Linked DNA regions of Cricetulus griseus. The protein of the gene in region 1 purifies or fractionates together with the protein of each later gene. This does not show direct contact. Links are inferred from orthologs where the notes say so. Each region holds a gene or a part of one and is shown in the gene's direction. Other genes may lie near its edges.

Region 1 (3,500 bases):
CAGCAAGACTCTTGTTTCTCAGAGGACCCAGGACAGAAGTCACCAAAGAGCCCCATTAAGGTAATTAGCTCATGAAAGATGCTACACTTCGAATGCTCCTCATGTGCAGCCACAGCTTCCTCTTGCTGCCTTAATCCTAGGGATCAGTTTACCTTATTGTTCTTGGTCAGGTATCTACCTGTGCAAGTTATTCAGCCATAGAGTAAATTAGCTTATGTATATATATGTGCGCGCGCGCACACACACACACACACACACACACACACACACACACACACACACACACACACACACACACGACATTGGGATATTTTGAATGAATATATTAAGATTAATTGGTTATACAGACTATGAATCAACAATATGGAAATTTTAACTTGATTAACTGAAATTGGAGTCATAATATATAGGACAGGAAAAACAGGAAGAAGTTACTCCAGTTCAGTCTGTTTCCTCAATTTAATTAAAGTGGTATGAGAGTGATTCCTGAATAATTTAAAACCACCAGGCACATTAAAAACATGCTTGATTCTAATGCTTTAGAGAAATCTTTGGGCAGTCTTTTAAGAAATTTTATATCGCTGAAGTTTTCATCATTAATGTGTCTCTGCTGTCAACATCAGTAATGATGCATCCCCACCCAACACCCCCAGGGAGTTCTGTCCCTCAGGTCATTGTCACCATGTAAATTCTCATCCTGGGTACTGGCTCTGCTTTTCTAAAATTTAAAAGGAGAAAGTCTGTGATGTCTCACACTTACTCAGCACCAGTAGTTGGCAAGGGAATCACAGCCTGGTCTTCATAGGAGGTTTAAGGACACACCAAGGTTCTGTAGCAAGACCGTCAAATAAACGTAGAATTAAATAACACACACACACACACACACACACACACACACACACACACACACTCGTGCATGAAAGCAAGCAGCTGCATTTTGCTGGTTGTACAAATAGCCCTTGCTCAAAGTTAAAAGTGGGAGGCACAGACATCCCCACCTCCCAGAGATGACTGCTGGCCATAATTGAGTGATGGTGTTCTTGAAACATGGCTGATTGTTCTTACTCTTTGATTTTTACTTACTTTTTAATTCATAAACTTTTCAAGATTCTGATACTAGAAAAAGATCCAAAAAGAAGAGAAGACCTCATGCAGCCTAGGCTGGATTTGAACTTAACGATCCTCTTGCCTCTGTATCCTGGGTGTTGAACTTATAGGATTGTAGGAATGTACCACCATATCTACCCAAAGATACACATTTTTTTACATTTATTCATAATTTTTGTATATATGTATTAACATGCAGATGCCATAGGACCTTATAGAGGTCAGCAGACAATTATCTGGTCTTTGTTCTCTTTTCATCATGTGGGACCAAGGGATCAAACTCATTAGACTAGGTGAAGCACCCACTGAGCCATCTCACCTGCCCCTGGTTTTTTCTCTTTCTCCTTTTAATGTGTATGGATTTGTTGCCTGCATATGTGTTCACCTGATGCCTGTGGAGCCCAGAAGAGGACATCAGATTCTGTGGCACTCAAACTCATGTCCTCTGGAATAGCAACCAGTGTTCTTAACCATTTAGCCATCTCTCCAGTCCTGGCTTTACTATTGCATTTTCAGAAGTTTTTTCAAACTGTTGATTGTTTGAGACCCTGGGTGTTAGCTCCCATTGCAGTGACTGAGTCTGTGCCATTATGTTGCATGACTATAACCTCTTCTGTATAAATGGCCTAGAATGTGAACCAGCCGCCCAGTGGACTTCTGAGGAGGCTCCAGCTCTGTGGTCTTGTTCATAGCCTCACTGTAGACACTCTTCTGAGTCATCTTCTACTGCAAAACCTGGGTGGATAATTCACGTCCTCCCCAAGGGACCTTCCATCGTCATAGATGAGGGCTGAATCCAGAAGAGGGCAAAGAATCTGTCATGGTGTCACTAGTTTTTGGTTGGGACACAGGCTATTGTAACGGTCAAGTGGGAATATTTGCATGTGTGTACATACATACATTTCTCAGGTTTTTGCAGGGGACGGCTTACTATAAATACTGACTGTTAGACCTGTCCTGAGGCCACTGCTGCTATCCTATTTAAAAGGCTTCTTTTCCATCAGACCTTACATGCCTCGGTGGTAGGAACTGAATTTTTTTCTGGTGAGTGTGTTTCAATGAACAAATGGTAGAGATGCCCCCAAACACTATGTGGCTGGTGGCATCGGCTGAAAACTTCCAACGGTGAGATATCTCACTCAGTTCCTGATGGTTCCAGTTTCTGGGGTTCTTTCAAAACAGTGTTAAGCAAATGTTTTCCCTTTTGAAGAGAGTTAACGGACTAAAGTTGCATACTTTTAAACTGCAGGGAATGGTTTGTATCATTCTTGATTTTGTGTCCACAGATGTTCCTTTTAACTTTCTGAGCCATCAGTACATGTCTGACAGTGATAGACAGCTTGGGGAGAGGAACGTAGCAGTACTGTGTGCAGGCCTTTGTTGCCACCCCTCTGACCAGTGTTGCCTTGGGTTTCAGGTGCCACTACTGCAAGTCATCGTGCCATGTGTCCTCCCTCCGCATCCCATATGCCTGCAAGCTGCTCTTCCAGGAGTTGCAGTCCATGAACATTATCCCCAGGTTGAAACTGGCCAAGTACAACGAGTAAGGATGAGTAGGGTCACTGAGGGCCAGCACCCTGTACAGCCAAAAGCAGAGGACTCACGAGAAACTGAGATGAGGAAGAGCAGCCTTCTGAGTTTTGAAATGCTGGCTGAACAAACTTGACCAAGAGCTTCGAGCCACAGGAGATGCTGGCCCCACAGACTACAGTATCATGCTGAGTCACAGGGACACACAAGCTAAAGTGATTATGAACTCCTGTTAATTTTCTTTTGCTTTGAGTGAGAATCTCACTCTGTAGCCCACGCAGGATTTGAACTCACCTCAATCCTCCTGCCTCCTTCTTTCACAAGTACTGGATTTACCAGTATGAGTTTATTTATGTTATTATATTTTAAAATATACTGAATAGAAAAACCTTCCTTCTTAAAACTCCCCATGACATCTTCTGGTTAACAGAACTCTGGTTTCTCATCAGACATGGAAGACATAAAGAATCATTTGAACTGGGACTATGGTGTTACTTCTGTCGGTAAAGAACCTATTGCAGAAACACAAGGACCCGAGTTCATCCCCAGCAACCCACATCAGAGCTGGACACGACCCTGGACATAGCATCTAGTACCCATGTACAGATCTGATAGTGTGGAGGTGGGGTAGGGGCAGACAGGCAGATGCCGAGCTTACTGAGCAATGGTGTAGCCAGTGACTGCACTTCAGTTCAGGGAGAGACCCTGTCTCAAGTGGACAGTGAGGAAGACCCCCCCCCCAGTGTCCATCCCTGGCCTCCACACACATACAAAGAATGGTTAGATTTGTTGGAAAAAGTAAACTGACACCCAAAGGGCAGCAGGTAACACAAGGGCTCTGTATGGCGTGGGAGGGCCAGCAG
Region 2 (4,239 bases), on another chromosome or scaffold:
GCCTGAAGGGAAAGGTGAGAATTCTCCCGCAACAGGCTGGGGCGGGGAGAAGGATCTCTGCTCATCTCTTCCAGGGAACAAAACCAGAGGGCAGCCAGCTAGCGCTGCTTTAGCTCCCGACAACGTGCAGACGCGAAGTGCAAGAACTCGTCCCCAGAGCTCCCCGTTTTAAAAAGCGAGCGTCGCGCAGACCCGCAGCGCGGCGCCGGGAACCCGCACCCGCACCGGGCCGGGCCGGACTCCACGCGGCCCCCGGCGGTTCCCCTTACCCCAGCGCCACACCCTGTCACCGCCCGCACCTGAGGCGAAGTAACTCACTCAGGGAAAGCGGCGGGCTCCTCGCAGGAGCGCTGACGAGGACGCCGCCCGGCTCCACTCCGCCGGGACTCACCGCCGCCGATTTCCTGGCGAGAAGCAAAGTCCGGCCAAGACTTCACTTCTCAACCGCCCCTGCTGCCTTTCCCCTCGGGGGCGAGCGCAGGGGCCCAACCCGACACGCACCTGAGCCAATCAGCGGCGGAGAAAGGCGGGACTAAGAGCGGGCTCTGAGTCTTTCGGCCAATCAAGGAGCTCGAGGGGCCAGACCGGCCCTGCTCATCACTCCCGAGTTAGAGTGAGCACGCTCCGCCCTCCGCCATCGCTCCCGGCCGGATTCTCTCAGACACACACAGAGAAGACGCTCGGGAAGTGTCTGCTTGCACCCCGGAGCGCCGCGCCGGCCGTGGGACAGCTGAAGGGAGGGGAGGGCTGCGGGACCAGGCTGAGGGAGAACAGGTGGTGCGGGGTGGCTGACGTGTAGGTGTGCGCTAGAGGACAGCTGGGGTGGGGCGGGGACCCAGCCTGGCCAGGGTCAGGTGGGAACTGGGAGGATGCACCTGAGGGGAAGAGAAGGGCGGCTCCTTGGGATCAAAGGGGAAAGGAACCGCAGGTCCACAGTGGGTAAACCCGAGCTCCTGGGGAAGGAGGGCGGTGCTCCAAACTCATACTTCTCTCCGAAAAGAAAGACAAACGCTGCCTTGCACCTGATGGAGATGTGCATTTGCACCCCAGGGAGAAAAATGCTCCCTGTAAACCTCAGTATGGTCAGAAGAGTCATCTCTGCACACAAGTCTCTCTGCTTTTTCAAGGTTGCAAGGTGCCCTACGAAAGGCTCCAAAGGACTCCAGTCCGGGGGGGGGAAGACAGTCCCGGGGCAGTACCGTCCCTGGTGGGTCTAGCAGATGAGAGGTTCAACTCCGACCCTAAACAGCAGTGTCTGGGGGCGACAGGCGAGGGACTGCTTGCACCGTAGCCTCCTAGCTTCCGCAGTTCCAGGTGAGCGGTCCGGCCCGCACGGGGCGTGGCTGGGGCGTGTTCTGTTTTCGCCCCGCCCCTCCATCGGGTCCTGCCGCGCCGCTGCGGCTCCGCCCCCCTCCTTCCGTCATCCGCTTCTTCCGTCGGTGGTTTCTTCCTTCCTGCTTCGCCCGCATCTTTCGCGATATGGGGAAGAGCGTCCTTTTCGGCAGCACCACCTGAGGATTTCCTGGAGCCGCCCCTCGCGATGGAAGAGGATCAGGAGCTGGAGAGGTAAGGTTGGAGGGGAAGAGTGGAGGGGGCGGCGGGCCGGGCCAGCGAAGCGGGTAGCGACCGGGCACGCGGCCGACTGCGGCCCGGCGGGGCGGCTAGGCCTGACCCGAGGCGCTGGGCAAGGGAAGATCGAGAGTAGAGCCGAGCGGGTTGGGAAGAGGGAGGAGAAGCGGTGGTGGGTTTGTTTATACAGAAAAGCTCAGAGGGACACTAGCCATCCTGGAGGGGAGAGAAGTTGGGAATCCAGCTCTAAGTGCCAAACTGCCATCCCCATTAGAACTGCCTCGTGTAAGGTCACGCACCGGGCGGTGCTGGCATGTTAAGTCGGCTAAAGTTACTGCAACTCCGCTCTGCAGACTGCTCGTAAATTCTTTCTGACCGCCAAATTCTTCCTCCTATTAAACTTTTCACTTCCTTTGACTTACTAGTTTCCTTACCTCTTTCAAAGGGAAGCCATAACTGAGCCTGCCACCTTAATAACTTGTGGTTGCCATTTTTATGCTAAAGTAATCGTGTTTTTTATGCCTGTCAACTCCCATTTCATCTTTCAGCAGGGCCTACCCTATTATAACTCTGCCCCTTTCTTTTTCTCTATTCAAAGAAAGATTTTGCAAACATTTGTGTTTATTTTCTGAGATGACTCCCCTTGTGGGCAATATATCAAATGGAGTAGAGAGAAACTCGAGTTAAATATTTATGTATAGAAGTATCGGAGGCAGGAAACTGAGGTGGTGAATCTTAAAAAGCTTAATCACAAAATGGTATCCCATATGATCTCATTCTTACAAAAAAATATGTGTGTAGAAAAATGTCAGGATTGAAGACCTCAATGGCCGAAGGCGAGAGGAAGACAGCCTTGGAAATGGTCCAGGCAGCTGGAACAGATAGACAGTGTGTGACATTTGTACTGCACGAGGAGGACCATACCCTAGGAAATTCTCTTCGGTACATGATCATGAAGAACCCGGAAGTGGAATTTTGTGGTTACACTACGACCCATCCTTCAGAGAGCAAAATTAATTTGCGAATTCAGACACGGGGTACCCTTCCAGCTGTTGAACCGTTTCAGAAAGGCCTGAATGAGCTCATGAATGTCTGCCAACATGTGCTTGACAAGTTTGAGGCCAGCATAAAGGATTATAAGGATCAAAAGGCAAGCAGAAATGAACCCACTTTCTAGTCCCTCGTGCAGGGTACAAGGAGGATCACCCTCATGATGGTGCAGATCCCAAAGCTAGAGTTTGTGATTGAAGCATGTTCTGTCTTATAGGAAGGTGTGGTTCCAGCTGTTGACCCATTACAGCTGTTGGAATCTCTGCAAGTATATTTGCCTAATAAATTCTCTCTTTTGTTTAAACTAGTTTGAGTGGTTTCTCTTCCTTGTACCTAGGTGATCCCCAAGGATGGTGCCACCCCTTACTTGGACCAACACAGAAAGTGAACGGATAATTGGGCCAATTTGAGGGTTTTGATCATGGATTTTTGTTTGTTTGTTTGTCTGTTTTGTTTTTGTTTTTTTCGAGACAGGGTTTCTCTGTGTAGCTTTGGAGCCTATCCTGGCACTCCCTCTGGAGACCAGGCTGGCCTCGAACTCACAGAGATCCGCCTGCCTCTGCCTCCTGAGTGCTGGGATTAAAGGCGTGCGCCACCAATGCCCGGCTTGATCATGGATATTAAAAGGGCTATTCATTTCTGTATGATTGGAGTGCTGAGGAAGGGGAGATGGAATAAAACATAAACCGTAGACTGTATTTAAAAAGGCAGGAAAAGATTGGCAGAGGGACTTGAGTTTTTTTTTAACCATTTACTTTGTGTGTGTGTGTGTACCAGCATGCCATGACACAGGTGGAAGTCGGGGGACAACTTGTGGGAGTTGATTCTCTCCATCATATGGGATCCATTTAGAGTTTGTCAGGCTTGGTGGCAAGCATCTTTACCCACTGAGCCATCTTGCCAGCCCTGGATTTTTATTAATGTAAATGCATCCTTTCATATGATTGGTAGACCTAGTAAGGATGAGGATAATTAGAAGGACTCTTGAGAATTTTAACTTTTCATGAGAATTTTTTGTTGTTGCTTTCTTCATGAGAATTTGAATTGGCATCAAGGTCCATCTTTGTAGTATTTGTAGGATAGATAACCAGTTTACTGCTTGAGTTCCAGAGCACTCATGAAATATAGAATTATGATGAGTAAACCGAATACTTTTTTATTGTTTTGTGTGGGCATGTTCGTGTGGACACTTGTATGCATATGGAGGCCAGAGATCAGCCTTAAGGATGGTTGGTTCATCAGGAACCACCTACTTATTGTTTGTTTTGAGACAATCTGGCTGGCTTGGAACTCACTTTGTAAACTCAAAGATTTACTTGCCCCTGCCTTAATAATCTCCCACATGCTGGGATGAAGGGAGTTTGTTAATTAACTAGGCTACCTGACTAGAAAGCCCTAGGGGCCCCACCTGTGTCTGTCTCCTGAGCACCGGGGATTACAGACCTACACATCATCCTACCCAACTCTTTTATATGGGTTCTAGAGACTGAACTCCATCCTTGTGTTTTCACAGCAAGTTTTTTACCACCTGAGTTGTTTCCCTGGCCCCAATTTTAATGGAAAAAAATGACTTATCAGGTAACATCTTCATTCCTTAGGTAGGTATGTAAATAGAGCCCA
Region 3 (3,500 bases), on another chromosome or scaffold:
CTGCATTGTGTGGTGAGAAGGCCTGCATGATGCCAAGTGTGCATGTTTTTTCCTTCAGTAATAAGGCTGCAGTGATACCAGGTGAGGGTTCATTACATATTACATTTTTAATAAATTTTTGGTTTTATTGCCAAATTTTTTGGATAACCACAGTCCTATAACCCCATACAGGGCCACAACCCACAGTTAAAGAAGCAAGACTTCGCATGCTAGTGGTATATGTCTGTAACCTCAGAGAGGAAAGTAGGTCACTGGGGCTTACTGACCAGCCAGTCTTAAGCTCTAGGTTCGGTGAGAAATCTTGTCTCAAATAAGGTGGAGAAGCAATTAAATGAGATGTTCAAAGGTGATGTTAACCTCCTCCTCCACACATGTCTGCATAGGAGAACACACCCCTCCTACACACATGCGTACACTCACACATTTCTTCTCTTCCTCCTCCTCCTCCTTCTAGCTGAGATCCTGTTATCAAACCATAGAGAGATAGAGGGAATCCTGGCAGTTAGCTGAGTGTTTCAGACACCATCTCAATGTCCTGAAGACCTGAGTGAAGGAGTTGTGTCCTTTAGTCTTCATCTCTACATAGAGATGGCATATGAACTGTTCAGCCATCTTGATCACTTGCTCCTATATACATTTCTTTTTAATTAAAAAATTTTCATACAATATATTCCAATGACACTTTCCCCCTCCTCCAGCTCCTACTAGATCCTCTCCATGCATCCAACTCTGTGCCCCCCTCTCTCCCTCTCTCTCCCTCTCCCTCTCCCTCTCTCCCTCTCTCTCTCTCTCTCTCTCTCTCTCTCTCTCTCTCTCTCTCTCTCTCTCTCTCTTTCTCTCTCTTTCTCTCTCTCTCGTGCATGTGTGCGCGTGCAAGAGAGGCTTTTACTATGTACAGCTGTCTTGGAACTCTGTAAACCAGGCTGACTGGAACTCACAGAGATCTGCCTGACTCTGCCTCCCAAGTGCTGTGATTAAAGACATGCACGACCACCACCCTAGCTGTCTTTCCCCCTCTCTCTCTTTCTTTACAAAACCAAATCAAACAAGCAAAAACAAGAAACACACACAAAAGACCTTTCACAAAAGTGGAAGCCAAATATACAAGTAGAAGACCAGCAAAACAAAACTTCACAGAGCAGTATGAAACAAAAATTCTAAAAAAAAAAAAAAAAATTACTGGTGAGTTCATTCTGTGTTGTCTAACTACTCCTGGGTATGGAGCCTACCCAGAAATGTTAATATTCCCAGTGAGACTCCATTCGAGAAAACTAATTTTCCTTTGCAAGCATGTATCAAATGCATTGTGTCAAGGGCTTCTTGGTTAAGGGTGCAGGCTGTATCTACTTGGTTTCTTTGTTACCGGAGGAAGCATGTGTCTACTTCCCCCTTTCAGTGCTGGGACCCTGTCTCATTTGAACCTGTGCAGGCCCTGTGTGAACTGTTACAGTCTCAGTGAGTTCATATTTGCATCAGTCCTGTTGTGCCTGGAAGAAATGCTTTCCTGGGAGTCCTCCATCCTGGTAGGCTCTTCTACTGCCTACTCTTCTGCGTAGATCCCTGCACCCGGTTCAAAAGTATTTTAAATCAACCATTCAAAAGTATTTTAAAACAACCAGGCTATATAAGGGCTAGAGTGTTACCTTTTGCTTTCAAATGTAACATTAAATGTAAAACTAATGCTTTTTTTCCTTTGCATAGAATTCAGTAAATCTTACCATTTAACTCTGTCTTTCAGGGTTTGTTCACACCTCTGCTATAATTGGTTCTGATGGCTGGTAATAAAGGAAGAGGACGTGCTGCCTATACCTTTAATATTGAGGCTGTTGGCTTCAGCAGAGGGGAAAAGTTGCCTGATGTTGTGTTGAAGCCACCACCACTGTTTCCTGTAAGTGAATTGACAGTTCAGTTTTCACAATGGATTTTTGCATGTTTTTAGGGGTTTAGGGCTTAAATACATGGTTCTATCATGATATCCTAGCTTCCTTTTCATAGCACCTGTGTCCTATTAGGCTTTTTGCTCTTCATATTTTACCTTTAATACTCAATATAGTTTGAAAACAAGTATCTCAGGTATAGGCATAGTATCTGAGTATAGTGACTACCTTCAAAATAAGGCCACCAGCTGTGAGAGTAGCTCTAAACAGTGGGAAAGTAAGCATATAGCATCACTTTTTTTTTTTTAATAAAAGTAATTTATTAGCTAGAAGGCTGTTCCTGCCCTGGCCTTCCTCATGTTGCCAGCATTTCCTCATCACTGTCTTTCAGTAAGAGCAACATTGTCTCACATGTGGATAAGAGAAATACTAAAATTCTTAGTTTATTTAAATAGGCGTTGTCTTTTAATTTAAACAGGATACAGATTACAAACCAGTGCCCCTGAAAACAGGAGAAGATGAGGATTACATGCTGGCCTTGAAGCAAGAGCTGAGAGAAACAGTGAAACGAATGCCTTATTTTATTGAAACACCTGCAGAAAAACAAGGTATGTATTAGGCACTTTATGAGGTAATTTGGTTTTAATAGAGAAAACAGTTTGTACAACCAACTTGAAAAAAAATTACTTATCAGAAATCAAAAAGGGCAAACATTTACATTTTATTGTATGTTTTTCTTCCACGAGTTTTCTCGCTGCAAACTTACTCATACTTTGTGTCTTTCCCTTACAATGCAATAATATACTGCCTTTTAAAACATTCTTAGAAGTCTTAGAAAATACAATCTAATAGTTATGTTAATCTATTATGTGGATAAAACACTAATTATCACTAATTCCTACTGATAGAATGAAGTGTTTTTCCCATTTATTTTGTTTGTTTAGCTATGCAATGCTGTGAATATTACCACTGTACATAACTTTTTAAGGATGCCTCTGATTATTGACAGTTTAGACTAAAAAACTTTAAAAGTCTTGCTTTTAAATATAAGTTTATTGCTTATGTTCCGATGACGTAAAATATAAAATGTGTTTATTCTTGATGCTTAGGGCAGAGAGGAGGAATAACACTTTCAGAAGGCTCAGCATCTCAGACAGAGAAAAGGGAAGTGGTTTTAGAGGAAGTGAGCCTGCTCATGAATAGTTCTTAAGCACAATAAAAACGTATTGATTGTTAGAGAGATCAATATCATCTTTTGAGTTCTTAGAACAACATCATTAAAACATGAGAAATTTGTATAGCATCAGCTCATGCCATTAGTATTAAAGCTGTTTTTTTTTTTTTTCTTTGTTTCTTTCTAAGAGACTTGCATTGGCTGAGTCAAAAAAGGAAGTATATAGATGATAGTGTTACATGTCTTCATAAGAAGCATGTTGGACAAGTTTAATCTCAATGACTTATGTGCTTGAGTGTATAGAATGGTTTGATCAATTTTCCTTCAGAAATAAAGGATTTTTTTAATTTTTATTTTCTTGATTTTGTTGCATGCTTTTGTCTGGATTTAAACATAAAATCAAATTTTATATGTTTCAGAAATCAACTAATAAATACTCATTTTTATTT
Region 4 (3,935 bases), on another chromosome or scaffold:
CCCACTATCTCAGGTCAGCTGTTTCTGGGTTCCCCAAGTTACGATCTTGACTCCCTCTTACTCGTACAATTCCTCCTCCCTGACTGTGGATCTCTGCATCTGCTTCCATCAGTTACTGGATGAATGCTCTCTGGTGACAATTAGCGCAGTCACCAATTACAGGAGAAGGCCAAGTGCTCTTAAGCTGAACCATTTAGCCCCTTCGTAGTGCTTTCCTATTTCACGCATGACCTTCGGCTTAGTGGTGGCACCGCCCACAACGGGCTGCGTCCACTTCTATCAATTTGCATTCAAGAAAATGCCCCATTGAGTTACCTACTTATAAGTCTGATAGAGACATTTTCCCAATTGGGATTCCTCTTCTAGATAACTAACTTGTTAAAGTTAATAAAACAAAACAAAAACAAAAAACCCACAGGAGTCACCCCAACCCCTCCCTGTGTAGGTTATAGAATTCTTGCAGAGGATTAAGGAGGTAAGACATTTAAAAGAGGTCTGAGAAGGCAGAACTGGGAAACGTAAAGGAGTCTATAGGAATGAGACAAAAGAACCAGATGGAGGTCTGTGGAGAGGAACTGCTGGTATTGTAGGTCAGAGTTGATCTGTAGAATTGAATCTAGTGAAATGGCATAAGTGAAATAAGTGAAATGGCAGAACTGGGACCAGGTGAAGAAATGGTCAGATTGGAAAGATGGTAAGTACAGATAGACAGGTATTCATACGTTAGGCAGACAGCAGCAGAGAGGTAGTATCAACACTAGGGGCTGAATTAAAGTCCCTGGGACATTAGGTTAGTCTCTGCCTGTCAGTCCCGGCTCAGAAGATGCGAAGCAGCCGGTCCTGCGCCACTGTGACAAGACCTTCCTGAACACGTCCATGGCTCGGAGTGCGGCACTGTCTTCTCATCACCTGTACCTCCCTCCGAACCTTATTCCCGGGTAGGTCAGGCGTGTCAGCTGCCAGCCCCATCTCTCGGGCCATTTAAGCCTGTGCTTGCGTCAGGGAGATCCGTGCGCACGCGCAGGCATTACAGGAAAGCTGGGAAGGCAGACAGCGCACTATTGGAGGGTGGGAAGGACTATCTGCGTTGACCAATGGCATGTGAGAGCTGCCTGCCGCAGTGCCTTCTGGGTACGTGCCAGTGGCCGCTTCTATTGGGCGTCTGCGGCCGCGGAAGCTTTAGACAGTAAGAGCTTACTTGTTGGATCTGCAGCAATGTTGCTTTTCTGTCCGAGCTGTGGAAACGGACTAATTGTGGAGGAGGGACAGCGTTGCCATCGTTTCGCCTGCAACACTTGCCCCTACGTGCATAATATCACACGCAAGGTGAGTCCCAGAGGCGAGCGCCTCCTCCACTGTCGGTGCGCTCAGACTTCCTGCGGGCGGTAGTTTTTTTTTTTGCTCACCTGTGGAAGTACCTCAAGTTCAGTAGTTGGTAATCCAGTGGCATCGCTCCGGCCAAATCGAAGCCACTCTTCTGGTCACTTCAGAGATTTCTGCCTCTGGCTCTCTGCTGCCGGTTTTGTGACACCCAAAAGGTTGCGAGATTTCCGTTTTACCTCTAGGCTGAACCACGCCTTTAAAACCTACAGCTGTCCTCCGCACGCCAGGCTCCAATACGCTTATCACCTTCTCTGATCTCAAATCTTAATGTTCTTTTTGTGGCTCTTCTTGCTCCCAGATCCTGTCGCTATTCTGGAGGATCTTACCTCCAAAAGTGCACGCAGTACTGTTAGCTCCTTCACGTTCCTTTCGCCCGAGTTTTCTTTCCCAACGAGCCATTTGGCGCTCTCTCTCTCTCTCTCTCTCTCTCTCTCTCTCTCTCTCTCTCTCTCTCTCTCTCTCTCTCTCCTCCCTCCCTCCCTCCCTCGGTGTGGGTATGTCTGTCTGTTTCTCTCTTCCTTTTCCTTTATCTCTCTCCCTCTCCCTCTCCCTTTTGGCTGTTGGTACATGCCTATAATTCCATCACGTGGAGAGGCTGTGGCAGGAGATTAAGTTCAAGGCTCACCTGGGCTGCATAGCATATGTATATGAAAATTAAGTAAACGAAGAAACCAAACCCAGCTCTTCCAGTTTATTCTCATTCCTTTTTCTTTTCCCAGGATTCATCGTCTTCTAATATATGTCATTGTTGCTGCTTTGTGTGTGTGGTGCTTGTGTTGGAACCCAGAGAAGCTGCTTTTACAGCCCTTTGTATTGTCTACCTTTCCATTCTTGTTCCTCCTTAACTCAGTGTCCTGAGTTCTGTGATTTCAGATGTGTATCATCAGGCCTTGGTGATACCTCATTTTTAATGTTTGCACTTAAGAGCTGTATGGTAGGAGTTTGGAGTCTGGATATGTGATAAGATTGAATGGTGACATAATTTTTGAAAATTGAAGGATGACTAAAGCAACGAAATGTGTCCCTGGGAATGCTGGGATACCCAGATAAATGGTGCTATTAGGCTTTTGTCTGTCTTTCATGTTGGGTTATTAGGGGTATGAGAGAAGAGCATGGTTTAACTCAGCTGTCTTCCTGCACTGTCTGCTGTTTCCTCCAGTTTCTAGGGGTCTCTGACATTGAAACTGTGCTGTTTTGGGAATATCTCAGTCACAAAACCCCTACATTTTAATGGCTCTTGTCGCTCTTTGAAGAAGATAAATTTTGTATCCATTTACTGAGTAGAGGAAATGCTGGAGGAAAGTTATAGTTTGGTGGCCTGCTTTTAAAACTATATGATTTCTTAAAATCTGATGACTTGTTTTTGTTAGGTAACAAACCGAAAGTATCCAAAGCTGAAAGAAGTGGATGATGTGCTTGGTGGAGCAGCTGCCTGGGAGAATGTGGACTCTACTGCAGGTGAGAATTTTCCCATTACAGAGCCAGTGACTCAACCCTATTTATTATTACTTATTATTATACTTAATAATAATAAATTTATTGTTATTTATTATAATGCAACCCTGTATATTGTTAGGACCAGTAAGATGGCTCAGCAGGTAAAAGCACTTGTTTCCAAACCTGTTAACCTGAGTTTGATACTTGGAGCCCAGATAGTATAAGGAGACAGCTGATTCATGAAAAGTTGTTTACCAACTCCCACCCCCTCAACCAGTAGTTATAAAAGAATTTAAGAAAATATAAACAATAATGACAAATAGCTTGTGTTTGCCAATACAGGAAATATTTTGATATGTTGTAGTCACAATATAGTCATTCTTTAAACTCTAAGCAAGGCATTAAGACCTTTTTGTTTGTTTGATTTTGTGTTTTGAGACAGGGTTTCTCTGTGTAGCCCTGGGTGTCCTGGAACTCTCTCTGTAGACCATGCTGGCCTCGAACTCAGAGATCCATTTGCCTGCCTGCCATGTGATAGGTTTAAAGGCATGTGCACCACCACCTGGCCATATTAAATTTTTTTAAAGCAGATTTCTTTCAAGGATTAAATATACTGAAAGGAAAATCACCATATTGATACCTGCTCTGTTGTTTCATTTAGATTCTCAGGACAGATATGGGCAAGTATAAGTAAAAATCTGGTACATATTCTCTTCTTGAAACAAATTTGGGGTTTATTACAAAAAAGTTTCAATGTTGATTTAAACTTAAATATTGATGGTTGTTGAGAGGAGGCGAGAGGTGTAAAAGGACAGTTGTCCATGCTCTAGTGGGTACAGGCTTCTCAAGAGAATTCTGTTGTATGTATTTTCAAATACCAATATTGTAAAAATGATTAGCCCTAGTCTTTTTTTATTTTTAAAAATGTTTATTAAATTAAAAACAATAAAAAAATCTTATTTTACATACCAATCCCAATTCCCTCTCCATCCTGTCCTTCATTCCCCCCCCCATCTCCTCATTCCATCCCCTATCTCAAAATAAAACAAAAGCCTCTACTCATTTTCCACTTTCAAGGCTTTTGCTTATTTTTGAGATAGAATCTTGCTGTGTAG
Region 5 (3,127 bases), on another chromosome or scaffold:
ACGAAGGACTAGATGACTTGGAAAATGCAGAGGAGGTTAGTAGCCATCCTCAGCTTCCTGCACTGCAACCTGGAAGCTAGACAGTGAGATGGTGATGTTTGCCAAAGGTTTCATCATTCCCTTTCCAGGGATGTGTCTCCTGCAGGTACACTTCGCCTTTGCCTAAGTGTCACCTCAACTAGGTCTTAAGAGTGTTGTGTCTTATTTATTTATTTTTTCTTTTCTTTTCATTTGTTTTTTTTTTTGTTTTTGTTTTTCGAGACAGGGTTTCCCTGCATAGTTTTGGAGCCTGTCCTAGAACTAGCTCTTGTGTCTTGAACTCACAGAGATCCAACTGCCTCTGGCATCCAAGCACTGGGATTAAAGGTGTGTGCCGCCACCGCCTGGCTTGTTGAGTCTTGTTATGTATGTTTTTTAAGACTTGTTCTTAGTGTATAGCCCAGGAACTCAGTATTTAAACCAGGCTGGCCTCTAGCTTACAGAAATCAGCCTTCCTTTGCTGCCTGAGTGCTGGAATTAAAGGCATGGGTTCTGGTAGAAATAGCTTTGATCTCTTTATTCACTACTCTATCCTAAAAACTTAAAATACCATTGGACAGTTTTTATTTAAAAAAAAATATATATATTTTGTGTGTACCGGGCAGTGGTGGCATACACCTTTAATCCCAGCAGCACTCAGAAGGCAGGGGCAAGCAGATCTCTGTGAGTTCAAGGACAGCTCAGGCTACACAGAGAAACCCTGTCTCAAATAAACAAAGAGAAATTTTGTGCATATGGACATGTGTGTCTGTGTGCTGTGTAGTGCATACGGAGGGGCAGAGGTTGCTGTTAGATGTCAGCCCCTGTCGTTCTCTGAACTTGGGTTCACTGTTTCAGCTAGGCTGTCGGTCAGCAAGCCCCAGAAATCTTTCTGTCGCTACCTCCTAGTTCTGTGGTTATAGGCACACACTGTTATCTACCCAGACTGTAAGGAGACTGAGGACCTAAATTTAGGCCCTTTATTCTTGGTTTCAGAATCCTGTAAACTCTGGGCATAGGCTGTGCACATTCCTGGCAGCAGTTGTTGCTCTGTGCCTGTTTTCTCTAGGTCGTGACCCTACTATCAGAACCCAGGGCCTTATGTGTCCTCAGTCACAGCCTGAACAGATGAGTAATGTGTAGCAGGTCATTGCTCAGTATGGTGTGACTTCCTCTTTACCCTGACTGTTCTAGTCACTCGACCCATTGACTCAGTTTCATTGTGTGAAAGATCTGGTGTTTGTGCTCATCATTTATAGGGCCCGCCTTCATTTGGGCAGGACAGTAGGCTCTAGAATCTTTTTTTTTTTTTTTTAAAGATTTTTATTTATTTATTTATTTTGTATACAACATTCTGTTTCCATGTCTATATGCACACCAGAAGAGGGCACCAGATCTCATAACAGATGGTTGTGAGCCACCATGTGGTTGCTGGGAATTGAACTCAGAACCTCTGGAAGAGCATTCGGTGATCTTAACCTCTGAGCCATCTCTCCAGCCCCCTAGGCTCTAGAATCTTGACCACAGTCCTCTTTACTGCTAGCTTGGAGACTTTGGTCAGGTTGGCTGGCTTTTGAAGCCCTTGGAATAGGGACCATCATCCCTGCCTCACCAGGTGGTAAGGAATGGGGTACTAGTGAGTCTCTGTATAGTCCTTGGCATCCAGAAATCGTTACTGGTGCTGAGTGTCATTGTCATCATCTTCCTCCCTGACCCAAAACTTGCCCTGAGATTTCCTGTCTTTGTTTTCTTGGTATCCAGGAGGGTCAGGAGAATGTTGAGATTCTACCCTCTGGTGAACGACCACAGGCCAACCAGAAGCGCATCACCACTCCTTACATGACCAAGTATGAGCGAGCCCGTGTACTGGGCACCCGGGCACTCCAGATCGCGTAAGTGTTGCCCCTCTGCTGTCTTCTCCATCAGCTGGGCCACAGTAAGCCCCAGGCTGCTGATCATGCCCTGTCCCTGTGTGTCAGGCATTGTGCTGGGCTTAGGGAGCCAGTAGCGTAATGTAAAAAGTAAGCCATGAAAAGTAACTGAGGAGCCAAATAACCTCACAGGAAAAAAGTGACAATAAGAACCCTAGTCAGGCCTGGTGGCATAGATACTCGGGTCACAGAAACAGGAGGATCATGGTTCAAGGCCTGCCTGGGCCATGGGTTGAGACAGGCCAGGCAGTGGGCCTTTAGTCCCAGCACTTGGGAGGCAGAGGCAGGCGGATCTCTGTGAGTTCGAGACCAGACTGGTCTACAAGAGCTAGTTCCAGGACAGCCTCCAAATCCACAGAGAAGCCCTGTGTGTGTGTGTGGGGGGGTGCTGCAGAGAGCCGGGCAGCGGAGACAGAGTGCTCCCAGTGCTCAGGAGACAGAGGCAGGCAGAGCTCTGTGAGTTTGGGGCCAACAGAGTAAGTTCCAGAACAGGCTCCAAAGCTACAGAGAAACCATTTTGAAAAACAAAAACAAAAAAAGCTGGAGAGAAGTTAAGAGCACATACTGTTGTTGTAGAGGAACCGAGTCATAGCTGCCTATCAATCACTTCAGCTCCAGGAGGGTCTGATACTTCTGGCCTCCATAGGCACTTCCTTTTATGCACATACCCCAGCATATACACACAAATACAAATAATTAAAAAAAAAAATAGTAAAAGATGTCAGTAGACCCTACAGGGATAGGTTCATGTTGACATTTGATAAGTCAGTGTGGAGCATTCATAGGGTGTGAAGTGCCCAGACAATCCTCAATCCAAGACAACCCAACTGTCATGTTTCTTTGTGAGGAAGACAGCTCCAGCATAGTCTAGGCTTTAGTGCTCCTTACTCTGCAGGATCCCCTGCCCTCTGGTGGTGCCCTTGCTGCCCATGGTTCACAGACCGCCAGACTGATTTCTGTCTTTGCTTAAGTGCTGAAATGGTTGGATAGCTTCCATTGGGTTCAGTGTGGCCTGCTAGCACCACCTGGTGGATGATGTCGCTCACTACTTGCTAACTGGGTGGTTGACATGCTTGTTGATTGGTGGTAGCTGCAGCACCAGAGTCACTTGAAGCCCACACTTGAACTTTGCGCGTCCATAGGGCACTGATGAAAGATGCCTTTCAGTTACTCCTGTC
Region 6 (4,140 bases), on another chromosome or scaffold:
CAGGCGGATCAAAAAACAAAACAAAACTATATCCTAGTCTGGCCTTGAACTTGCTGTTGGGAGGATGATCTTGAATCCCTAATCCTCTTGCCTCCAACTCCCAAATGCTGGGATTATAGCAGATATGGGCCAGCAGGTCCAACCTTTTTTCTTTTCTTTCTTTCTTTCTTTTTTTTTTTTTCTTTTTGGTTTTTCAAGACAGGGTTTCTCTGTGTAGCTTTGGAGCCTATCCTGGCACTCCCTCTGGAGATCAGGCTGGCTTCGAACTCACAGAGATCCACCTGCCTCTGCCTCCTGAGTGCTGGGATTAAAGGCATGCGCCACCAACCCCCTTTCTTCTTTTTTCAAAGTTTTATTTTATTTTTTTGGTTTTTCGAGACAAGGTTTCTCTGTGTAGCTTTGGAGCCTATCCTGGTACTCGCTCTGTAGACCAGGCCGGCCTCGAACTCACAGTGATCCACCTGCCTCTGCCTCCTGAGTGCTGGGATTTAAGGCATGTGCCACCAGCACCCAGCCAAAGATTTATTTTATGTGTATCTGTGAGTGTCTGTGTGTATGTATATACTTCACATGTGTGCCTGGCGGGGGCTATATAAAAGGCCTTGGATCCTCTGGAATTGGAGTTACAGGTTGTTGTGAGCCACCACGTTGGTGCTGGGAATCAATTCCTGATCCTTTGCTAGAAATGGAAGTACTCTTAACTGCTATGCCATCTCTCCAGGTGTCTCTCTTTCTCTCTCCCTCCCTCTCCCTTTCTCTCTGTTTCTTGTGTGGCCTAGGTTGTCTCACAAAAATGTGCTAGCCTCTACCTTCCCTTTTTTCCCTTGCTGGAATTAGAGGCGTGCGCCACCATGCCTGGCTGGCTTCTGGGGGTTTTGGTTGGTTGATTGGTATGTGTGTGTGTGCCTGTGCGTTTTTTTTAAACAAGATTTTATTTATTTATTATGTATACAACATTCTGCTTCCATATATATCTGCACATCAGAAGAGGGCACCAGATCTCATAACGGATGGTTGTGGGCCACCATGTGGTTGCTGGGAATTGAACTCAGGACCTTTGGAAGAGCAGCCAAAGGTGCTCTTAACCTCTGAGCCATCTCTCCAGCCCTGTTTTTTGTTTTTTTACACAGTGGTCTGCAATAGCCCAAGATAGCTTGAAACCCACTCTGTAGCACAGGCTAGCCAGGAACTCGTGGCAATCCCCCTGCTTCAATCTCTCTAGTGCTGAGATATCAGCTGCGAACTGACTGGCTTGGAGATTTTTAAAGCGTCCAAGACAGGAACCTTATCTTATTAAAACCCTAACAAAACCTAGACCATAAAAAAGTTTAAATTTTGCCTCCAGAGGCTGAAATTCGAAATCCGTACGACGCAAGGAGCCCGGCGTTCCCTACAGCGATCCCGGCATGCAACACGGCGTCCCAGAGTGGCTTGCGGCGCACACGCAGGCCGAGAGCTCCGCGGCGGTGGCACGACGGGAGGCCGTTCCCTTCCAGCGGCTGCGCAGGACGAAGCGGCTGCGACATGGAAGTGTAAGCCGCATGTCCGAGGGCAACCCGACTCATCTGGGGGCCGGAGACGGCTGGTGGTCGACCCTCCGCACCCGCTACCAGGGCGGGAGGGCGGAGTGGACGGGCCGGAAGTATCTGGAGGTGGGGCGGCTGGGGAGGGATCCTGCTGGTCCCGCAACCCACGTTCTTTGAGGGAGGGGAGTGTAGGAGCAATGAGTTTTGTTTGCTTGTTTGTTTTTCCTCCTGGTTCTGGGTATGAAACTCAAGACCTTGCACGCGCTCCGCAGTCGTCTGCCCCCCCCCCCATCATCATCATTTTGTAATGCTGGAGTTGGTACCCAGGGCTTCTCACATGCCAGGCAAAGGCTGCAACCCTAGCCGTTACCACCGTCGTTATTTGTGATACTGATACCCAGGGCTGTGAACATACAAAGGTGTGCTAGTTTCCTTTCTGTTGTGTGAAAAACACCATGACCAAACAAGGAACTTCGGGGTAGAAGTTTATTACATCTTTTGGTTTTTTGGAGACAGGGTTTCTCTGTGTATCTCTGGCTGTCTTGGCACTCGCTCTGTAGACCAGGCTAGCTTCGAACTCTCAGAGATCCATCTGCCTTTGCCTCCCTGAGTGCTGGGATTAAAGGCGTGCACGACTACCGCCTGACAGGGTTTATTTATTACATCTTACACTTCAGGACACAGTTCATCATTGAGGGAAGTCAGGGCAGGAACTCAAGGCAGAAACCTGAACAGAACCCGTTCAAAAATTCTGCTATCGGTTTACTCTCAGGCTTTTTTTTTTTTTTTAAGATTTTATTTTATTTATTATGTATACAACATTCTGCTTCCATGTATATCAGCGCACCAGATCTCATAAGGGATGGTTGTGAGCCACCATGTGGTTGCTGGGAATTGAACTCAGGACCTCTGGAAAAAGTCAGTGCTCTTAACCATTGAGCCATCTCTCCAGCCCACTCTCTGGCTTTTTACAACAACAACAACTCCTCATTTTCTTTTCTTTTCTTTTCTCTTCTTTTCTTTGTTTTTCTCTTGAGACAGGGTTTCTCTGTGGCTTTGGAGGCTGTCCTGGAACTAGCTCTTGTAGACCACAGAGATCCGCCTGCCTCTGCCTTCCAGTGTACTGTTAATTGTTTTGTGGTGCTGGGGATGGACACTAGGGTGCTAGGCAAGTGCTTTAGCACTAAGCCACGTGCCCATCATCATATAGTGGTGTTTGGAATGGTAGCATCCTGAGCATTCTAGGCAGTTACTCTCCCACCAGCAAAGCCATCTTGACAGTTTTTTCTCCATACTGTTTTTTTTCTTCTTTTTTTTTGTTTTTTTTTTTCTTTTTTGATGTGCAAATGTAAGTTTTTGCATCTATTCTACCTGTGGACTTTATATATCCCTGGATGACATACCTAAATTGTGGGGTTTTTTTTTTTTTTGTGGGGGTGGTTTGAGACAGGGTTTCTCTGTGTATCTTTGGAGCCTATCCTGGCACTCGCTCTGGAGACCAGGCTGGCCTCGAACTCACAGAGATCCGTCTGCCTCTGCCTCCCCCCCCCCCAGTGCTGGGATTAAAGGTGTGTGCCACCGACGCCCAGCTCTAAATTGTGTTATCATTCATTGTTCTTTACCTTCTGTTCACTTGTAATATATACTACAGTTTGTCAGACTTTTTAATACAGAGTCATAAGTAGCTCAGACAGGCTTTGATCTTGGTATTCAGCAGAGGATGATCTTAAGTTCTATGTCTCCACCTCTCAAGCTGCCACATCAGATTAGTATTTGTATGGGGGGGGTCTCACTGTGTAGCTCAGGCTGTCTGGTTCAGCTTTCTCCATCTGAGTAGCTATTGTCAGACACCCTGGCAATGCTCAGCTCTCTGACATGGCCCTGAATTTCCCTCTCCATCCTACTGCTGGGAGTTCTTTTGTTACTCCTCTTCCCTTGCTGGTCTCAATGTTATTGAGCATCTTAGTGCTTCATCTTCTTGGGACACTTTCTGTTCCCATTCTTGGTATACATTCATTTATATGATGGTGGTTCCTCAAAATGTTTCTTTTTTTCTTTTTTTGTCCCTCATTTTCTGTCAAATTGTTTAAAACAAAATCTAGCATATTCCCTACCAGTCATCAGACAGTCCTTTTCTTGTTTTCCAGCACCCCCCACCCCTTGTAGTAGGGTCTCATGTACCCAAGGCTTAGCTTAACCTTGAACTTACTACCCATTCAAGGGTGGCCTTGAGCTTCTGATCCTCCTGCTTTTACTTTGCCATTGCTGAGTTTACTGGTGTATTACACCATACCCTGTTTATGCAGTGCTGGGGATGGGGCCAGGGTTTTATTCGTCTTAGGAGTGTTGTAATTTAAGAAAAGCGGTGCACGAGAGAAAGATGCCATGCACAGGGTTCAAGCAGAGGGGTTTTTTATAGGGGAAAGGGAAGGAGGAGATTGGCTTCCGAGACAGGGGCAGCAGTTGAGAGGAGAAAGGAAAGGGATAAAAAGGAAAGAGGGAGAGAGAGAAGAATGGGGGAGGGGGAAACAGACAGAGAGGGAGGGAAAGAAAGAGAGAAAGGATGGGAGGTAGGCAGGGCCCTTTTAAAAGGGAACACAGTGAATATGTACAG
Region 7 (4,157 bases), on another chromosome or scaffold:
CCCAGAAGGTCCCCATCCAGTGGTTCAGACAGCTGTAATGTCTCGGCAGGATTTCGTGCAATGAAGTCAAATGCCTCAGGCAGAAAAGCCAGGCAAGCACCCAGTCTGGCCGCCTCTAGAACCAGCTCAGCACATGTTTTAAAGTTCTCTTGCTTGTTTGGTGTTGATGTTACCTGGCACACAGCCACCAGGGGCAGCTCCCAGGAAGTTGAGGAGGACACCTCCATAGCTCTGGGCCTGTGAATAGCACGGGCAGTGTTCTCAGATTTGCTAGCACGGAGAAACCCAGAGGCTCAAGTGGGATGGGGCCACAGACCTAGATGTTTTTCTTTTTTGAGACAGGGTGTTTTGTAGCCCAGCCAGGTCTTGTTATGTAGCTGAGGATGACCTTAAACTGCTGCCTGCTTCCCAAGTGCTGAGATTACAGGTGTGTCCCACCATCCCTAGTGACTTCTTTCCATTCTTTCAGAGCATAATAACCCCAGAGCTACTGGTGTTCACTTATTAAATGTTTGGTGGGTGGCAGACAACTTTGTCTCCCCACACTGCAGTTATAAACACGGATTGAGCGGCAATGTGCCAGGCAGAGAACAAGAAAATATGTTACCTGGGCTGAGTACAAAGTACCGAGATTCGAGGCAATCTGTTTCCGGTACACAAAAGGGACAGGAGTTGGCGAGGAGGCCTGGTGATGAAGCCCAGCCTGAAGAGGGTGAAAAATCAGGACACCTAACCTTCCTTCAAGTAGTATGTTTCTAGAATTCTCTGTCATTTCCAGGCCTGGCCAGTAATCCCCTCCCCCAAGGCTTCAAAAACATCCCCCCACACGATTAGCTGTGGAAAGAGGTCGTAAAAGGGAAACATGGGAGAGGAGACTGATCCGAGCCTCAATACCTCAACTTCCAGTGATCTCACATTAAAACTGAAGCCCCTTTCCTCTGCCAAACGTTTCCGCGGTTCAAGTCATCTCATGGAACCTTCCTCGCTTCCCCAATTCTCTCTTCTCGGCTGTGCCACCTGCACAGCTTTATAGGCTCAACGCGTATCTCTCCCCTTACAGCAGTATCTCGAAAGGCAAGTTCACTCTCCCTAGATCGCCACCATCTCGAGGTGGGCAGGGGGCTCCGGACCAGATCCCAACCCTGGACCCCGCCCTCTGATTAGCGCGCCCTTCCCCGCCTCTCCCTGGGGCAAGAATCTCTGTTGCACAAGTTAAAGCACCGTAGGTGGAATTCACCGCAGCGGGCAGGGTTGGGGAGTAGGTCCTACATGAAGCCACCGCCAAAACCATTCGCAGGGTCGACCAGAGGAGCTTCCTGGAGCCAGAAGCGCAGGGGCAAGTGGGTGGTAACTACCAGACCGGATGTGACGCAGTGGGAGTGCGCAGGCCGGAAAGCTCGCAGGTGGCGAAGATGGCGGACAGCAGCGGTCGTGTGAGCAAGAGCAGCGGGAGCAGCACCGGGAAGGGGGCGGTGTCGGCCGAACAGGTGAGCATCCGCGAGCGCCGAGGGCAGCTCGGCCGGTGTCGAGTTCGTGCAGGAAACGGGGTCTGTGGCTTGTACCGGCCCTCAGCCCTTTCCACGTTCTCCGTGTCGCACTCGCGGAGGGAGGCGATCACGACCCCTGCTAGGGCATGCGGAGGTGGGTGTGCAGAGGAGAGCCACGTCCGCAGGCTGCAGCGGGAGCCCAGTGGGAAAGCCCTGAGCTGCGGGAGCTGGGAGGGTGTCCAGGGCCCCAAGGTGATGGGGTCGTCGTTTCCCCCGTCTCCGAGCTACTGGGAGGCGGGCCTGCTTCGGCGTTGCATCTAGTAACGAACCCCAGAGGTTATTAGTCGGGGAATTGTTTAGTCTGTGACTCTAAAACCGCGCTCACCATCGCCCACGCGCTGCAAAACCACGTGACTCAGACTCGACCGCTTCAGTCTTCTGTAACTATTTTTTTTCTGGTTTTTCGGGACAGGGTTTCTCTGTAGCTTTGGAGCCTATCCTGGCACTCGCTCTGGAGACCAGTCTGGCCTCGAACTCACAGAGATCCGCCTGCCTCTGCCTCCCGAGTGCTGGGATTAAAGGTGTGAGCCACCAACGCCCGGCCTTCTGTAACTATTTTAACTAAGGAGTCTTTAGTAGATTGGCTTTGTGGTTTAGTTTGGTTTGTTTGATGGTTGGTTGGCCTTGGGGTCGGGGGTGGAAGTTGCGACGGGGTCGCTCTATGCAGTCTTGACTTTTCTGAAATACACAGTGTAGACCAGGCTGGCCTGGAACTCAAGAGATCCGCTTGTCCCTGCTCCTGCCTCTCGAATTCTGAGATTAATAGCCTGTGTCACTAAGCCGGGCCAGGATTGTTTGGTCTTTTGAGACATGATCTCACTAAGTAGCCCAGGTTGGCCTCGAACTCGCTCACTGTGTTCTCGGAGTGGAGATTGACTTTTTAGAAGAGACCGGAAACCCTTTTCTAATCTAAGTTTGCCCCCACCCCAATACATCGGGATATGTCTGACTAATCAGAAAGCCCTTTGTGGTATGAGAACCGTGCCTTGTTAATCGTGGGACTAGTATTTAATCGATAGTAGAAGGAAAAAAAAACCACACAATTGAAATGAAAAGAATTGAGGCTAGGGATATAGCTTAGTGGGCCAAATGGGAGAGCCCTGAAGTGTAGGACATGGGAGGGTGTTAATTAATTGTTGAACACTCAGTACAGTCAGGTAAAGGTAGCCGAATAAAGAGTTTAAAACCTGCCCTATCAAAGAGCATATCTATTGGGACAAAAGGGGGATTTTCATAATTCTACTTCGAGGCAGAAAATAAGTGTTCTAAGAGAAGTAAAATGCATTGAAATTTGGAGGTAGCCTCCAATATAGTGGCTAATACTTTTATTGAGGGTCTGTCTTGTGTTAGGCTCTGCTGAACACAGAGAAACTGGTAAATGAAACAGACCTTATCTTCAACTTGGTCAAAGATCCCTAGAAATACAAGACAGCCGAGTGTGATGGCTCATACCTGTAATCCGGCTGGATTACCATGTCCATTCCAGGCTAAGCCTGGGCTACAGAGTGAAACAGTTGTAAAAACAAACATGACAGAAAGACAAATAAAACAATGAGAGTTTTAAAAAAAATTATTTTATGGGCTTGGTGATGGTGGTGCACCATTTTGTCTTAGCACTTGGGAGGCAGAGGCAGGAGGATCTCTTGAGTTCAAGGCCAGCTTGGTCTGCAGAGCTAGTTTAGTTTCAGGACAGCCAAGACTATACAGAGAAATCCTGTTTTGAAGAAAACAAACAAACAAACAAATAAATGCTGGTAAAGGCCCCTTGAGATGGCTTTTGCAGAGGCCCAAGTTTGATTCCCAGCACCCATCCATGTTGCTTGTCTCACAATTCCCCATCACCTTGGCTCAAGGGAATCCAACGCCCTGTTCTGGCCTCCAAGGCAACTCCACTTGAGTGCACATGCTATCACACAGACACACAAACATGCACATAATCTAAACAGTTTTTTTGTTTGTTTTTGTTATTTTGTTTCAGGACATAGTTTCTTTGTGTAGCCCTGGCTGTCCTGGAACTAGCTCTGTAGACCAGTCCCTGTATTTGAGAGAGATGTAGAGGCAAGAGAATTAGGAGTTCAAGTTCATCTACTCAAAGTAAATTTGAGTGTGGGTTACATGAGATTCTGTCTCAAAAAGATAAGAAAAATCCCTGTCACTTGACAGTCAAAGTTCAATGTGTGTTTTGGAGAGGACAAACCCTACTAAAACATAGCTTTATACCCCTTAGTCCCAAAACTTGTGCCCTTACAATGCAAAATACGATTATTCTGCCCCAATAGTCCCCAGAGTCTTAATTTGTTCCAGTACTAACTCAAGATTCCAGGGTCGTTTGTGCAGGGAAAAGTAGCTCATCTCCTTCCAGCATGTAATGCAGAGGCAGGCAAAGAGAGAAGTAGGCCAGAAAGGTAGGTGGGGGTGGGTGGGTGGGTGGGTGGGTGTGTGTGTGTGTGTGTGTGTGTGTGTGTAAAACAAGCCTTAAGTCTGATTCCAAGAGAGCAGGCATTGTCTTACAATTCTATAACAATTTTTCTCCATGTGCCATTTGGAAACCCTGGGGCAGGGATTGGGCCTCTAAAATGCTGGGCAGCTCCACATCTATGGGTTTGTTGG

What was found.
Region 2: the proteins of Polr3b (region 1) and protein POLR1D purify together in Homo sapiens (affinity purification with mass spectrometry; 6 studies listed by BioGRID and IntAct, with this or other methods). This does not show direct contact. The link is inferred for Cricetulus griseus from reciprocal best matches to the Homo sapiens genes POLR3B and POLR1D.
Region 3: the proteins of Polr3b (region 1) and Polr3g fractionate together in Homo sapiens (co-fractionation; 4 studies listed by BioGRID and IntAct, with this or other methods). This does not show direct contact. The link is inferred for Cricetulus griseus from reciprocal best matches to the Homo sapiens genes POLR3B and POLR3G.
Region 4: the proteins of Polr3b (region 1) and DNA-directed RNA polymerase III subunit RPC10 purify together in Homo sapiens (affinity purification with mass spectrometry; 6 studies listed by BioGRID and IntAct, with this or other methods). This does not show direct contact. The link is inferred for Cricetulus griseus from reciprocal best matches to the Homo sapiens genes POLR3B and POLR3K.
Region 5: the proteins of Polr3b (region 1) and Polr2f purify together in Homo sapiens (affinity purification with mass spectrometry; 5 studies listed by BioGRID and IntAct, with this or other methods). This does not show direct contact. The link is inferred for Cricetulus griseus from reciprocal best matches to the Homo sapiens genes POLR3B and POLR2F.
Region 6: the proteins of Polr3b (region 1) and Crcp purify together in Homo sapiens (affinity purification with mass spectrometry; 5 studies listed by BioGRID and IntAct, with this or other methods). This does not show direct contact. The link is inferred for Cricetulus griseus from reciprocal best matches to the Homo sapiens genes POLR3B and CRCP.
Region 7: the proteins of Polr3b (region 1) and Pfdn2 purify together in Homo sapiens (affinity purification with mass spectrometry; 3 studies listed by BioGRID and IntAct, with this or other methods). This does not show direct contact. The link is inferred for Cricetulus griseus from reciprocal best matches to the Homo sapiens genes POLR3B and PFDN2.

The regions. Positions count from the first base shown.
Region 1 is NW_023276806.1:150,710,658-150,714,157, reverse strand, and holds part of Polr3b (DNA-directed RNA polymerase III subunit RPC2), read left to right. Parts: intron 1-2,524; coding exon 2,525-2,654; 3' UTR 2,655-3,500. UniProt on the Homo sapiens protein: Catalytic core component of RNA polymerase III (Pol III), a DNA-dependent RNA polymerase which synthesizes small non-coding RNAs using the four ribonucleoside triphosphates as substrates.
Region 2 is NC_048597.1:82,928,340-82,932,578, forward strand, and holds the start of protein POLR1D, read left to right. Parts: upstream 1-1,439; 5' UTR 1,440-1,540; coding exon 1,541-1,566; intron 1,567-2,370; coding exon of another isoform or gene 2,371-2,746; exon of another isoform or gene 2,747-2,926; intron 2,927-4,239. Other genes in the region: Polr1d (DNA-directed RNA polymerases I and III subunit RPAC2), read left to right, coding at 1,541-1,566, 2,371-2,746.
Region 3 is NC_048595.1:302,148,360-302,151,859, reverse strand, and holds part of Polr3g (DNA-directed RNA polymerase III subunit RPC7), read left to right. Parts: intron 1-1,738; 5' UTR 1,739-1,771; coding exon 1,772-1,888; intron 1,889-2,355; coding exon 2,356-2,485; intron 2,486-3,500. UniProt on the Homo sapiens protein: DNA-dependent RNA polymerase catalyzes the transcription of DNA into RNA using the four ribonucleoside triphosphates as substrates.
Region 4 is NC_048599.1:60,488-64,422, reverse strand, and holds the start of DNA-directed RNA polymerase III subunit RPC10, read left to right. Parts: upstream 1-1,135; 5' UTR 1,136-1,215; coding exon 1,216-1,326; intron 1,327-2,753; coding exon 2,754-2,841; intron 2,842-3,935. UniProt on the Homo sapiens protein: Core component of RNA polymerase III (Pol III) which synthesizes small non-coding RNAs using the four ribonucleoside triphosphates as substrates. Can mediate Pol I proofreading of the nascent RNA transcript.
Region 5 is NC_048595.1:376,264,885-376,268,011, forward strand, and holds part of Polr2f (DNA-directed RNA polymerases I, II, and III subunit RPABC2), read left to right. Parts: coding exon 1-35; exon of another isoform or gene 36-88; coding exon of another isoform or gene 89-145; intron 146-1,779; coding exon 1,780-1,910; intron 1,911-3,127. UniProt on the Homo sapiens protein: DNA-dependent RNA polymerase catalyzes the transcription of DNA into RNA using the four ribonucleoside triphosphates as substrates.
Region 6 is NC_048597.1:109,299,771-109,303,910, forward strand, and holds the start of Crcp (DNA-directed RNA polymerase III subunit RPC9), read left to right. Parts: upstream 1-1,340; 5' UTR 1,341-1,524; coding exon 1,525-1,532; intron 1,533-4,140. UniProt on the Homo sapiens protein: DNA-dependent RNA polymerase catalyzes the transcription of DNA into RNA using the four ribonucleoside triphosphates as substrates.
Region 7 is NC_048598.1:21,547,853-21,552,009, reverse strand, and holds the start of Pfdn2 (prefoldin subunit 2), read left to right. Parts: upstream 1-1,357; 5' UTR 1,358-1,412; coding exon 1,413-1,487; intron 1,488-4,157. Other genes in the region: Nit1 (deaminated glutathione amidase), read right to left, coding at 1-237, 608-703, 916-917. UniProt on the Homo sapiens protein: Binds specifically to cytosolic chaperonin (c-CPN) and transfers target proteins to it. Binds to nascent polypeptide chain and promotes folding in an environment in which there are many competing pathways for nonnative proteins.